Mus musculus: one gene and its partner. The protein of the gene in region 1 interacts with the protein of each later gene in a biochemical or structural test. Links are inferred from orthologs where the notes say so. Each region holds a gene or a part of one and is shown in the gene's direction. Other genes may lie near its edges.

Region 1 (6,255 bases):
TGTATGAGTGTTTTGCTTGCCTGAATGGATATGTACTACGTGTGTGCCTGCAGAGGTCAGAAGTCATTAGATCTCCCAGAACTGGGGCTAGGGATAGCTGTAAGCCACTGTGGGTGGTGCTGGGAACTGAGCCTACCCAGGTCCCCTGGAAGAGCAAAAGAGCAAATTCTCTGTGTCTCAGAGCCATCAGCTGCCTTCTCTGTTTTTGAAGCAGGATCTCATGTAGTCCAGGCTGACTTGAATTTGCTATTCAGCCAAGAGAGAATCCTTTATCTCCTGATCCTTCTTCTGCTTCCACCCCCATTGTGTCAGTCACCATACACCTGCTCTGGGCTGGGCAATGCTGGAGACCCCTGTCTCAAAAAAGGAGGAGGGAAAAGTATGCACCAGCACACCCAGCTTAAAGATTGTGTGTGTGTGTGTGTGTGTGTGTGTGTGTGTGTGGATGTCTGTGTGATTGAATGCTGCTGTGACTGCAGTGTGTTGTTGTGGGGTGCCCTCAATAATAAGATAGGGCTTTGACCCCCCCCCACCCCCCCCAGCATTAGAATTATAGGCAGTTGTGAACCACTCAATGTGAGTGCTGGGAATTAAGCCCTGGGACCCAGAAGAACAGCACATGCCCTTAGCTTCTGAGTCATGTCTTTAGCCCAGAGCAATGTTAGATGTACACATTGAGGGGCTGGAGAGATGGTGCAGGGTTAGGAACACTGTCTGCTGTTCCAGAGGTCCTGAGTATAGGCACATGGTGGCTCACAGCTATCTAAAATGGGATCTGATGCTCTCTTCTGGCAAGCAGGCGAGTATGCAAAAGAACACTCAGGTATAAAATAAATTAACAAAATCTTTTAAAGAAATGTATATATTGATACAAACGGATGTGTCTTTATTTTTGGTTTTTTGAGACAGGGTTTCTCTGTGCAGCCCTGGCTGTTTGGAACTCACTCTGTAGACCAGGCTGGCCTCCAAAGCAGAAATCCGCCTGCCTCTGCCACCCAAGTGCTGGGATTAGAGGTGTGCGCCACCACTGCCCAGCTATATTATATCTTTTTAAACCCTCCCCCCTTTTTTTCTAAAGATTTATTTATTTGTTTTATGTGAATACACTGTTGCTGTCTTCAGACACTCCAGAAGAGGGCATCAGATCAGCTTACAGATGGTTGTGGTTGCTGGGAATTGAACTCAAGTCCTCTGGAAGCCCAGTCAGTGCTCTTAACAGCTGAGCCACCTCTCCAGCCCTCTAATTGGGTTTTTAAACTTTTTTTGTTTGTTGGTTTGTTTTTTGTTTTTTCGAGACAGGGTTTCTCTGTATAGCCCTGGCTGTCCTGGAGCTCACTTTGTAGACCAGGCTGGCCTTGAACTCAGAAATCCACCTGCCTCTGCCTCCCGAGTGCTGGGATTAAAGGCGTGCGCCACCACGCCCGGCTGGGTTTTAAAACTTTGATTACAGTTCATAGCACAGCTCATCCAGAGGACCTGTGTTTGGTACTCAGTGTCTAGGTCATGTGGATTACAGCTGTCTGTAACTCTGGCTTCAGGGGACCTTACACCTTCTGAGGGCACATGTCTGCACATACCTGCCATTTACTCATAGGCTGGGTGCAGGCACATGTGCAAATAAATATAATAAGCAAAAGTAAAGTAAAAATAGCATACAGAAATACTGGATAAATACGTTATAGCAATGTGGAGATGGGGGAGCCCTGAGGTGGTGAGTTAAAGGTTGATGCTTGGGCAGCAGAATTCGTGGATCCGATTTTAACTGGTAAGGAACGGGGATTAGAATCCAGTTGGTTATTGGCCCGGCAGACCCATAGGATATAGAGAGGCAACCCAGAGGCTGCTGCATGTGGGGGAGGCTCTGTTTCTGGAAAATAGTGGCGAATAGAAGCATCAGCAGTAGAGACAGGAGCTGAAGTCTTGGATGGTAAATGGCCCAGTGAGAGAGGTGTGGGAGAAAGGATAAACACGGCCCTAGACAGAGCCTGGGCCCATGGAAGGTCTGTCCAAAGCTGCTTAAAGGGATGAGGGGAAGCTGTGAATGGTGGTTTATACCTGTACTCCAGTACTTGGGAAACGGGGGGACTGCCACACAGCGAGTTCCAAGGGAGTCTGCATTACTGAATGACCCTGTCTTTCTCTTACACACACACACACACACACACACACACACACACACACACACACACAATAATGGAGCTCAGGGTGAGTAGCAGCTATGTTGATCCTTAGTGTTAGGAAGTGCAAAGGTTGTGCTAGGGACATCCATGGGTATCAGGCACCTGATACATCCTGTGGAGTTAGGAGCTGGACTTTTCAAGAAGCACAGAGATGAGGAACAAGCCACAAACCTGGCATATAATGGCTCTCAGAGCAAGGGATCCAGTGTAAGGATTGATTGGCTCCTGCGGGTTGGTTGGGTGCAAGGGTCTTGGCTATACTGTCACTTGAGGTAGGACAGTAATCAGAGGCATGGTCAGATTGAGACTTTGAGTGCATTGTGGATATGCTTGTGAGACAGAGGGAGAAGGAGCTAGAGATAACGAGCTTTTCTGGATTTGGGGATAGTAAAATCCTGGTGCCTCAACTCTGTTTGATCCCTCTAGGTTGAGGAAGACCAGCGAAGTGCTGCAGGCAGTGAAAAAGAGGAGGAGCCTGAGGAAGAGGAGGAGGAAGAGGAAGAATACGATGAGGAAGAAGAGGAGGAAGATGATGATAGGCCCCCCAAGAAACCACGCCATGGGGGCTTCATTTTAGATGAGGCTGGTATGTCACAAGGCCAGGAAGTATTGTACTTAAAGTATGCACGAGACAGTCTGTGGTTCAATTTCTCTGTGTGTGTGTGTGTGTGTGTGTGTGTGTGTGTGTGTGTGTGTATGTATTGACCTGGCAGTGGTGGCACACACTTTAATTTCCACACTTAGGAGTTGGATGCACGTCGACAAAAAAGAAAGGAAGTGTGGGGATTGACTGTGCCACATAATTACTTGTGGAGCCACATCCTGACACCTAACAGGTGGATTCTAGGCAAATGCTGTGCCATTGAGCCATTCCCCAGCCTTCTTTTTTACTTTTTATTTTGAGACATGGTCTTGCTAAGTTGCTTAGGCTGGCCTTGAACTTGCAGTTTTCTTGCTAGCCTCTCAAGTAGTTGGGGTGGCTATCCTATTTCATGGGACCTGGATAAGAATGCTGGGGATACAGGTGTTTGCCTCCTTGCCAGCTCTGGTCTTAATTTTTTGGAAGGGGTCTGTGGTGTGTTGGGGCAGATGGCCTTCAGAGCTAGGTAGATGTACATTACACATAGCCCTGCCGCATTCTACCAGTGTGTGGTGTCCCTTGGAGAAAGCGCATCACACCTCTCTGAGTCCGGGTCCAGGGCTATGTAGTTCCGGAGTTCTCTGTTCTTCTAGAGGTGTTTCATTCTCTTGGAGCTGCTGCTCTGAGGTCACCTTTCCTCTCTGCTGATCCCATTGGCTTTCCCATTCAGATGTAGATGATGAATATGAAGATGAAGACCAGTGGGAAGATGGAGCTGAAGATATCCTGGAGAAAGGTGTGTGTGGGACCTGCCTGCAAGACGACTCGGGGTGAATCATGCCTGGGAGGGTGTCTTTCTTTTAAGCCCTCTCCCTACCCCATGCCCTGCACCCACCCCAACCCTCACTCTTTTCACCGTGCTTCTTTCTGTCCTTGCCAGAGAGACAGCTTCCCCCAACCCTTTTCCTTTTAGGCCCATGAGTGGGGGGCGGGGACTGTCGGGTGGGTGGTATTATAGGAAGAGGATTTTGGGTATCCCTTTTGTGGGGTGTAGGGTGGGCGGGCTCTGACCCCGATCCCCCCACTTGCTGGGCCAGTGCCCCCTCCCCTGTTACTTTCCGTTTTGTGCGCCTCATACATTTCGGCTTCTCCCACCCACCTGGTGCCTGGCCTTTACTTTTGGTTTTGACCTTCCTGTGTCCCTCCCTCTGCCCCACCCCATTGGTTGATTTCGCTGCTATAATTTGGCTCATACTTTGTCTACCCTGCACACCACTACCACCACCACCACCACCACCACCACCACCACCACTACCACCACCACCTTCTCCTCTTCCTCCGAGTAGAAGAGATTGAAGGTAAGAACTGGGGAAGTGTGGTCTGTGGTCCCATATCCTGTGTGGCCCTGGGGCTCTGATTCACATGGGGTGCAGGGTTAGGCAGTTTGGGGTCGCTGACCTGGGAAGGTGCACATTTCTGTGTCCACAGGTGTAAATATAGTGCATATAGGAGTATGGGTGGGGTGCTCAGGGCATGCTCAGTTGGCGGCTGTGTCAGCAGCCGGCCTATCCCTGAGTGTGTGTGATGAGAAAGCAAGAGGCTGAGGAGGACAGAGGATGGGGGAAGGATGGGGGAGCCTTAGCCATCTCCCCAGGGCCAGGCATGTCCCCTCAACTCCCCAAGCTGGTTCCCGGCCTGACTCCCCTTGTGACTCTGTTTCCAGCCTCCAATATTGATAACGTTGTGCTGGATGAAGACCGCTCTGGGGCTCGTCGTCTGCAGAATCTCTGGAGGTGAGCAACTGAGGCGGCCTGGGGGGGACCTAGCTTCCTTGGACAGATGTGGGGCAGACTGACTTTCCTTCATGTCTGCTTTTCCCCTTGTGTCCCAGGGACCAGAGAGAAGAAGAACTGGGCGAGTATTACATGAAGAAATATGCTAAGTCGTCTGTGGGAGAGACGTAAGTGCCTGGCGGGGGTGGGTGGTCCCTGTGTGGGAAGCAGGCGGGGCTACGGGGACATCCCTTCTTCTCAATGCTCTTCTTTCTCTAGGGTGTATGGAGGGTCTGACGAGCTCTCAGATGACATCACTCAGCAGCAGCTGCTCCCAGGAGTCAAGTAAGACAGTAGGAGGATAGAAATCAGGGTTGGAATCCCATACGGGGTCAAGACACATAGAAGTAGAGGAAGTAAGACTCTTGTGTACGGTTCATGAGGTGTGGTTCCTGGGCCAGAGGGGAAGATAGGTGGTGGTATAGATCATGACTTAGTGAGGAGACAGGTCTGGTAATAAGTTTCCTTGTCTTTCTTATCCTGTGCCATGTAGGGACCCCAACCTGTGGACTGTCAAGTGTAAGGTGTGTATTCTGATCTTGGGCTGCATATGGGGAGGGGCCATATGTCTCTCTGGGTCTCTTGGTCTTTCTGTAGCGCTCTCTCTCTCTCACTCGCTTTTGCCTCTTTATCCCCTTTTCTCATGTCCTTTAGTGCCTTTGTCTTGGAATCCATCTCTCTCCTACTTCACCTTCCTCCATTTACCTTCCCTTGCTTCTCCTGTCTCCTGCCCTCTCCCTGTCAGCTCTCCAACACCTGTCTCTCTTTCCAGATTGGGGAGGAACGAGCCACGGCAATTTCCTTGATGCGGAAATTCATCGCTTACCAGTTCACAGACACAGTAAGTCAAGAAGTGGACTGGTTGTGGGTGAGAAAGGATGGATGGATGGAAGGATATTGCAGGCACTAGGCACCCTTGGGCAAGCAGACCTGTGCAGTGAGCAAGTGAGCAGATGAACTAGAGCAAAAGCGAAGACCACTGCCTGACTCAGGGGCTCTGCCTCCCTGGGACTTGGTTTTTGTTGGTGGTGTTTGTTTTTAGCTGGAGAGATAGCTGACTGATGATGGGAACTGGACTCTTGCCCTTTGGCTGAGCCATCTCTCCAGTCCTTGATTTGCAGTGTATGTATGCACATGTGCAGTGAATAGTGTTGTGCGGTCATGAAGAAGCTAGAATAGCATGTAGCTTCCTATTGGTCAGTGCCTTACTCTCTTGAGGTGGGTCTCACTGAACCTGGAGTTCTTTTTTTCCCCTTTGGCTAGGCTGGCTGGCAAACCTTAGAGATCTTCCTGTCTCATTCCATATCTTCGTACCTGCTGGCTTTTTGCATGTATGCTAAGGATTCAAATACAGGTCTTCATGCTTGCTAAGCAAATGTTCTTACTGACCATGTCGCTAGGGGTGTGTGTGTGTGTGTGTGTGTGTGTGTGTGTGTGTGTGTGTGTGTGTGTGTGTGTGTGTAAATAAATTTAAAAAGTGCGGTAGAGAGATGGCTCAGTTGTTAGGGATGGATATTGTTCTTACAGAGAACTGGAGTTGATTCTCAGCCCTCACATCAGGCTGCTCACAATTACACAACTACCTGTAACGACAGCTCCGTGAGATCTGATCTCTCTGGTCTCAGGCACATACACAGATACATATGTACACATAATTAATCAT
Region 2 (6,255 bases), on another chromosome or scaffold:
TTCGGTCATCCCCAGTCACCAAGTGTGAGAAGGTCAGCATTAGTAAGCCAGCCCTGCATACACTGTGTGGTGGCCCAGTCTGAGATCCCAGCACTCAGGACCCAGGCAGGAGAATGAGTGGTTCAGGGTCATCCTCTGGAATACAGCAAGTTCAAAGCCATGCTGAACTGTCTACTAAACACACACAGACAGACAGACAGACAGACAGACAGCAAGTTCAAAGCCATGCTGAACTGTCTACTAAACAGACAGACAGACAGACACACACACACACACACACACACACACGAAGAGGAAAGATGAAGCAAATTTAAAGTAAGAGCCAAGCACCATGGTGCTCCAGTACTGTGATGGGGAGATAGGATTGCTGTGAGTTTGAGGCAGCCAGAGAACGAGATCCGCCTAAACCCAGACAGAATCTTTAAAAGAAAAAAAAAAATCAGGTATATTTGTATTTGAGAGAGCAACTTTTTTTATTTTTCATTTTTATTTTTACATTTTGAGACGGTCTCATTGCTTAAGCCAGCCTTGAACTTCCACTTCCCATGTTTTGGGATCAGGCTTCTGATCCTCCTATGTTGACTTTGATTGTTTTTTCCTTTTGTTTTTGTTTTGAGACAGACAGGGTCACATTAAATAACTCTGGCAGTCTTGAAATTTGCTATGTAGACTAGGCTGGCCTCAAACTCACAGAGACCCAAAGGCCAGCCTTTGTCTCCCAAGGGCTATTAAAGGGGTATGCCTCACCGAGGCTGACTACCCAGCTCCTTTTTTTTCTTTTATTTTTTTTATTTTTGTTTTTTGTTCACTAGTATTCTGTTTACTAAGTGTGTGATACTAGGAAATTTAGAAGTGTTGTTAACCTGTGCAGTATTTTAATAGAAAGTGATATTGAGGTGCTGAGGAGATTAGCCTAGCACATATAGCTCTTCCAGAGGACCTGAGTTCAGATCCCAGTATCTGTTGTGGATGTACACCATCGCCTGTAACTCACGGTGTAGGGGGTCTAACACCTCTGGCCTCCACACCCTCACTGTGCTTACCCCACCACAGACGTGTCCAGGTACTTAGAAGTCAATCTTAGAGAAAGACGACAGGCATGTTGAGTGCTGAGTCAGCACGGGATGGTCTTGCCCTTCTCACTCTCCTCTGGTTTTTGTTTTTGGTTTTTTGGTTTTTTTTTTATATAATGGAGAGTTTTAGTTTAGGGTTGAGAATTGAGGGCTCATGACACTCTCTGTTTCCTTCCCTTTGATGTCAGCCTGCATTTGACCACATTTAGCCTGCAGTACACACCTCCTGTGGTGGCCTGTGTCTGCATCCATCTGGCTTGCAAGTGGTCCAACTGGGAGATCCCAGTCTCAACTGACGGGAAGCACTGGTGGGAGTATGTTGACGCCACTGTGACCTTGGAACTGTTAGATGGTAAGTTTTAGTGTAAGGGACCTTGAAACGCACGTCTTGATTTGTCACATATCTGGCCAAACATGACTTGAAAACAGTGAGTTAGTTGAGGTTTTTCTCTTTTTTATGATATTCTTGTCTCTGAGCGTTTCTTGGATGTTTCATTTGTAGAATTGACACATGAATTTCTACAGATTCTAGAGAAAACTCCAAGCAGGCTGAAACGTATTCGGAATTGGAGGGTAAGACTTAGTGCTGATAAACTTATTCTTTCTTTTAACTGCACCAGTGAATATACCAGAATTGGATATGTGTGCTTGGTTTGGAGTTTCCTTCTTGCTTAACAGTAATTGTGACTTTATAGCATGGATATGAACTAAGATTTCCGTCTTTTTTTTTTTTTTCTTCCTGAGACAGGGTTTCTCTGTGTAGCCCTGGCTGTCCTAGAACTCGTGCTGTAGACCAGGATGGCCTCGAACTCAGAAATCCGCCTGCCCCTGCCTCCCAAGTGCTGGGATTAAAGGTGTGGGCCACCACTGCCCAGCAGGATTTCAGTCTTTAGGATAAAAGACTGTAGGGCAAGATATGGATGGAATTAGAAGGGTTGAGTGTGATTTTTACTTTAAAAATGTTTTAGGGGGTTTTAGGGGGGTCTGCTGGAAAGATAGCTCAGTGGTTAAGAGTGCTGACTGCTCCTTACAAAGGACCTGAGTTCAACTCCCAGCAACCACATGGTGGCTCACAACCATCTGTAATGGGATACGATGCCCTCTTCTGATGTGTCTGAAGACAGCGACAGGGACAGCCCTGGTGGTCCTGGAACTTACTTTGTAGACCAGGCTGGCCTCAAACTCAGAAATCCGTCTGCCTCTGCCTTCGAGTGGAGGCGTGCGCCATCATGCCCGGCTCCTTTTTTCTTTTTAAAAAGATTTATCATTACAGTTGGGCATGGTGCTGCATGTCTTTAATACCAGCACTTGGGAGACAGAGACCTCTGAGAGCTTGAGACCACCTGGGGCTACATATATTGTGACCTGGGGTTTGGGGAGAGATTTATTTTTTGTGTATGAGTGTTTGCCTACATTTATGTGCATGTACTACCTGTGGAGGTCAGAGATGTCAGCTCTTCTGGAACTGGAGTTTTAAGTGGTTGTGAGCTGCTATAGTTGCTGAGAACAGAATCCAGGTCCTCTGCAACAGTAGCAAGTTTCCTTAACTGCTGAGCCATCTCTTCAGCCCAGGGTTTTCTTCTTAAATGGGCTTCAGTCTGGAGTTGTAATGCAAATATTTTAGTCTTGGGAGTAATAGCCATTCCCTTTCCCATCGCATCAGATAGATGAAAAGTCCTCACCTTGCCTAAGGCCCTGCACTCAATCACCAGCACTCAGAAGAAGGAAGAAAGCCTCCGCCCAGCTCTTTTGAGACAGTCTCATGTAGCTCCACCTGGCCTTGAGCCTTGCTGTTAGAGAGGCTGACCTTGGACTTCTGATCCTCTTGCCTTTGCCTCTACCTTTTAAGTGCTGGGATTGCAAGCATGAACCACCATGTATAGAAATTTCCCGTATTTCTTATTAGTTCAGACCAAGTCTCCTGAGTCTGGTGAATTATAGAGAATTGTTGCCTCCAGAAGATTTGAGTTAGAAATGGACTTCAAAGCATGTACTTAATCTCTTATGTTCATACAAATCTCATCAAAGTTTCTAGAATTTAAAAAGGCTAACTGCAGCCTCCAAGTAGTTATACTGAGCTGGGAGTGGTGGCGCACGCCTTTAGTCCCAGCACTTGCGAGGCAGAGGCAGGCGAATTTCTGAGTTCAAGGCCAGCCTGGTCTACAGAGTGAGTTCTAAGACAGCCAGGGCTACACAGAGAAACCCTGTCTCGACAAACCAAAACAAACAAAAAAAGTAGTTATACTGAATGTTTAAGAATGGCTTTATTTTCTGGGTGTGACGATGAATGTCTTTAAGTACTCAAGAGGTAGAGACAGGAGGATCTCTGAGTTTGAGACATGCCTGGTCTTGAACAAAAACCAAAATCCCCACCTCCAGTAAACAAAAAGGAACACAAAGCCACCCAGAAAAGTTCCCCTAATTGACGTTTCCCTGTACTGCCGCTCAGTAAATTGCTTGGCATGAAGGTTTATGTGCTTCGTCCTAGGCGTACCAGGCTGCCATGAAAACCAAGCCAGATGACCGAGGAGCAGATGAAAACACGTCGGAGCAGACAATCCTCAATATGATTTCTCAGACCTCTTCAGACACAACTATCGCAGGATTAATGAGCATGTCAACTGCGTCTACAAGTGCAGTGCCTTCCCTGCCTTCCTCTGAGGAGTCATCGAGCAGTCTAACTAGTGTGGATATGTTGCAGGGCGAGCGGTGGCTGTCTTCCCAACCTCCGTTTAAACTCGAAGCTGCCCAGGGTCATCGGACTAGTGAGAGTTTAGCACTTATTGGCGTTGATCATTCCTTGCAACAGGATGGTTCCAGTGCGTTTGGTTCCCAGAAGCAGGCGAGCAAGAGTGTGCCATCTGCTAAGGTTTCACTTAAGGAGTACCGTGCAAAGCACGCGGAAGAGTTGGCTGCTCAGAAGAGGCAGCTGGAGAACATGGAGGCCAATGTGAAGTCACAGTATGCGTATGCTGCCCAGAATCTCCTGTCTCACGACAGCCATTCTTCAGTTATTCTCAAAATGCCCATTGAGAGCTCAGAAAACCCTGAACGTCCTTTTCTGGATAAGGCTGACAAATCAGCTCTGAAAATGAGACTCCCTGTGGCCAGTGGGGATAAAGCAGTTTCTTCCAAGCCAGAGGAGATAAAGATGCGCATTAAAGTTCACTCTGCAGGGGATAAGCACAATTCCATAGAAGACAGTGTCACCAAGAGCCGCGAGCACAAGGAGAAGCAGAGGACTCACCCGTCTAACCACCACCACCATCACAACCACCACTCACACAGGCACTCTCACTTACAGCTGCCAGCCGGCCCCGTGAGCAAACGCCCAAGTGATCCAAAACACAGCAGCCAGACAAGCACCTTAGCACACAAAACCTACAGCTTGTCCAGTACTTTGTCTTCTTCCAGCTCTACTCGTAAAAGGGGTCCCCCGGAAGAGACTGGGGCAGCAGTATTTGATCATCCAGCCAAGATTGCCAAGAGTACTAAATCTTCCTTGAATTTCCCCTTCCCCCCCCTTCCTACAATGACCCAGTTGCCTGGGCATAGCTCAGACACAAGTGGCCTGCCCTTTTCACAGCCTAGCTGTAAAACTCGAGTTCCTCATATGAAACTGGATAAAGGCCCTCCTGGGGCTAATGGTCACAACGCAACTCAGTCAATAGATTATCAAGACACTGTGAATATGCTCCACTCCCTGCTTAGTGCCCAGGGGGTTCAGCCCACACAGGCCCCTGCATTTGAATTTGTCCACTCTTATGGTGAATATATGAATCCCAGAGCTGGTGCCATCTCCTCCAGATCTGGCACTACAGACAAACCTCGGCCACCACCCCTCCCATCAGAACCCCCTCCACCACTTCCACCTCTTCCTAAGTGAAAAAAAGAAAAAAAAAAAAAAGAGGCAAAAACTTCAAAAACAAAAAACACTTTTTTGTTTTGTTTTTTTGTTTTGACTACTGATATTAGACTACGAAAATTACATCCCTTATGAAATCTGTCACCTAAGGAGTAAATTGCTATTGAGACAAGTGGGCGGGTGGTGGAGGGAGGGCCTCAGTTATTCGATCTGCTGCCTCACATCTACAGTTCGTGCTGGTATTAGAGAGGTGGGATTATGTCGAAGCTGTGAAGGATGAAGAACACACTCTACTCTTGGCCTCTCTTCATCCTAACTAGGTTGATTGGAGTAGTTATCTTCCCTCTTCTTGCCAGAACTAAAATGTGGAGGGCATATCAAGCGGTTGTGGATGCTTTTGGTGTTAAACATATCAGAAGAGAGGAAGTATTTAAACGTCAAATCTTTAAGAGACTTTTAAAAAATAATTTAAAGAAAGTAAGTTATGTTTAGTTTTTTTTATATAATCGGGAGGGAAAGGGATTTTGCTGTGTGTATGAGGAACATAGCAGTGACTGGTGGGGGGGGGGTGGGAGGGTGGGAATGTGTGCAGGGTGGGGGGGAGGGTAGGCTCTTGGCCAAGAGTGAAATAGGCTCAGGCCTCTTGAAGTATTGAGATCTTTAAAAGTGCGTGTGTGCTTGTGTGTGTGTGTGTGTGGGTGTATGTGTGCATGCGTGTGCGCGTGTGTTTAAAATCATGTTACTTTATTCCTCCCATTCTTAACCATTTTCACATCTCCGCATTCTACTAGAGAGATAGTTGGCTTTGACAATAAGAAGAGACATGTATTGACAGTGTGAGTCCTCTCTTCCCTTCACCGCAGGCTTGCGTGGTAGCAGCCCTCTCGCTTCTAGTTCTGACCTGACTCCTGCGCCAGTATGGAAACTTCCCTGTTACTTCTTTTTGTGTTTTCAACGCAGCATGGAGGTGGGCTTGAGGAAGAAGCCTATAAAGCAAGGCCGGCCTCTCTCCTACAGAATGGGGTCTTTTCATGTTGGGCTTTGCGAGAAAGCTCAGGTCTCTGAAGGGAAGAAGGGTATGCTTTGCTTGTCCTGTCTGAAAAGACCAGACCATGTGTGCTACTAGGACTGGGAGAAGCCAGGGGGTTAAGATACTAAAGACAATGAAATTGTGATTTGGAATTCTGAAGACATGGTGTCTAAGTTACATTATGAATGTAAAGAGTTTATCTAGTGGGAAACAACTGCAGTGTGCAGCCTGTTTGGCGTCAGAGCTTGAATTTCACAGCATTGGTATAATGCATGAGCAAGCCCAGC

Evidence for each region. The genes of interacting proteins can lie anywhere in the genome.
Region 2: the proteins of Supt5 (region 1) and Ccnt1 form a complex in vitro, tested with the Homo sapiens proteins (2 studies listed by BioGRID, with this or other methods). The link is inferred for Mus musculus from reciprocal best matches to the Homo sapiens genes SUPT5H and CCNT1.

The regions. Positions count from the first base shown.
Region 1 is NC_000073.6:28,327,881-28,334,135, reverse strand, and holds part of Supt5 (transcription elongation factor SPT5), read left to right. Parts: intron 1-2,606; coding exon 2,607-2,766; intron 2,767-3,490; coding exon 3,491-3,556; intron 3,557-4,106; coding exon 4,107-4,118; intron 4,119-4,483; coding exon 4,484-4,553; intron 4,554-4,651; coding exon 4,652-4,720; intron 4,721-4,811; coding exon 4,812-4,877; intron 4,878-5,085; coding exon 5,086-5,116; intron 5,117-5,364; coding exon 5,365-5,433; intron 5,434-6,255. UniProt on the Homo sapiens protein: Component of the DRB sensitivity-inducing factor complex (DSIF complex), which regulates mRNA processing and transcription elongation by RNA polymerase II.
Region 2 is NC_000081.6:98,541,915-98,548,169, reverse strand, and holds part of Ccnt1 (cyclin-T1), read left to right. Parts: intron 1-1,261; coding exon 1,262-1,425; intron 1,426-1,575; coding exon 1,576-1,646; intron 1,647-3,561; coding exon 3,562-4,959; 3' UTR 4,960-6,255. UniProt on the Homo sapiens protein: Regulatory subunit of the cyclin-dependent kinase pair (CDK9/cyclin-T1) complex, also called positive transcription elongation factor B (P-TEFb), which facilitates the transition from abortive to productive elongation by phosphorylating the CTD (C-terminal domain) of the large subunit of RNA polymerase II (RNA Pol II).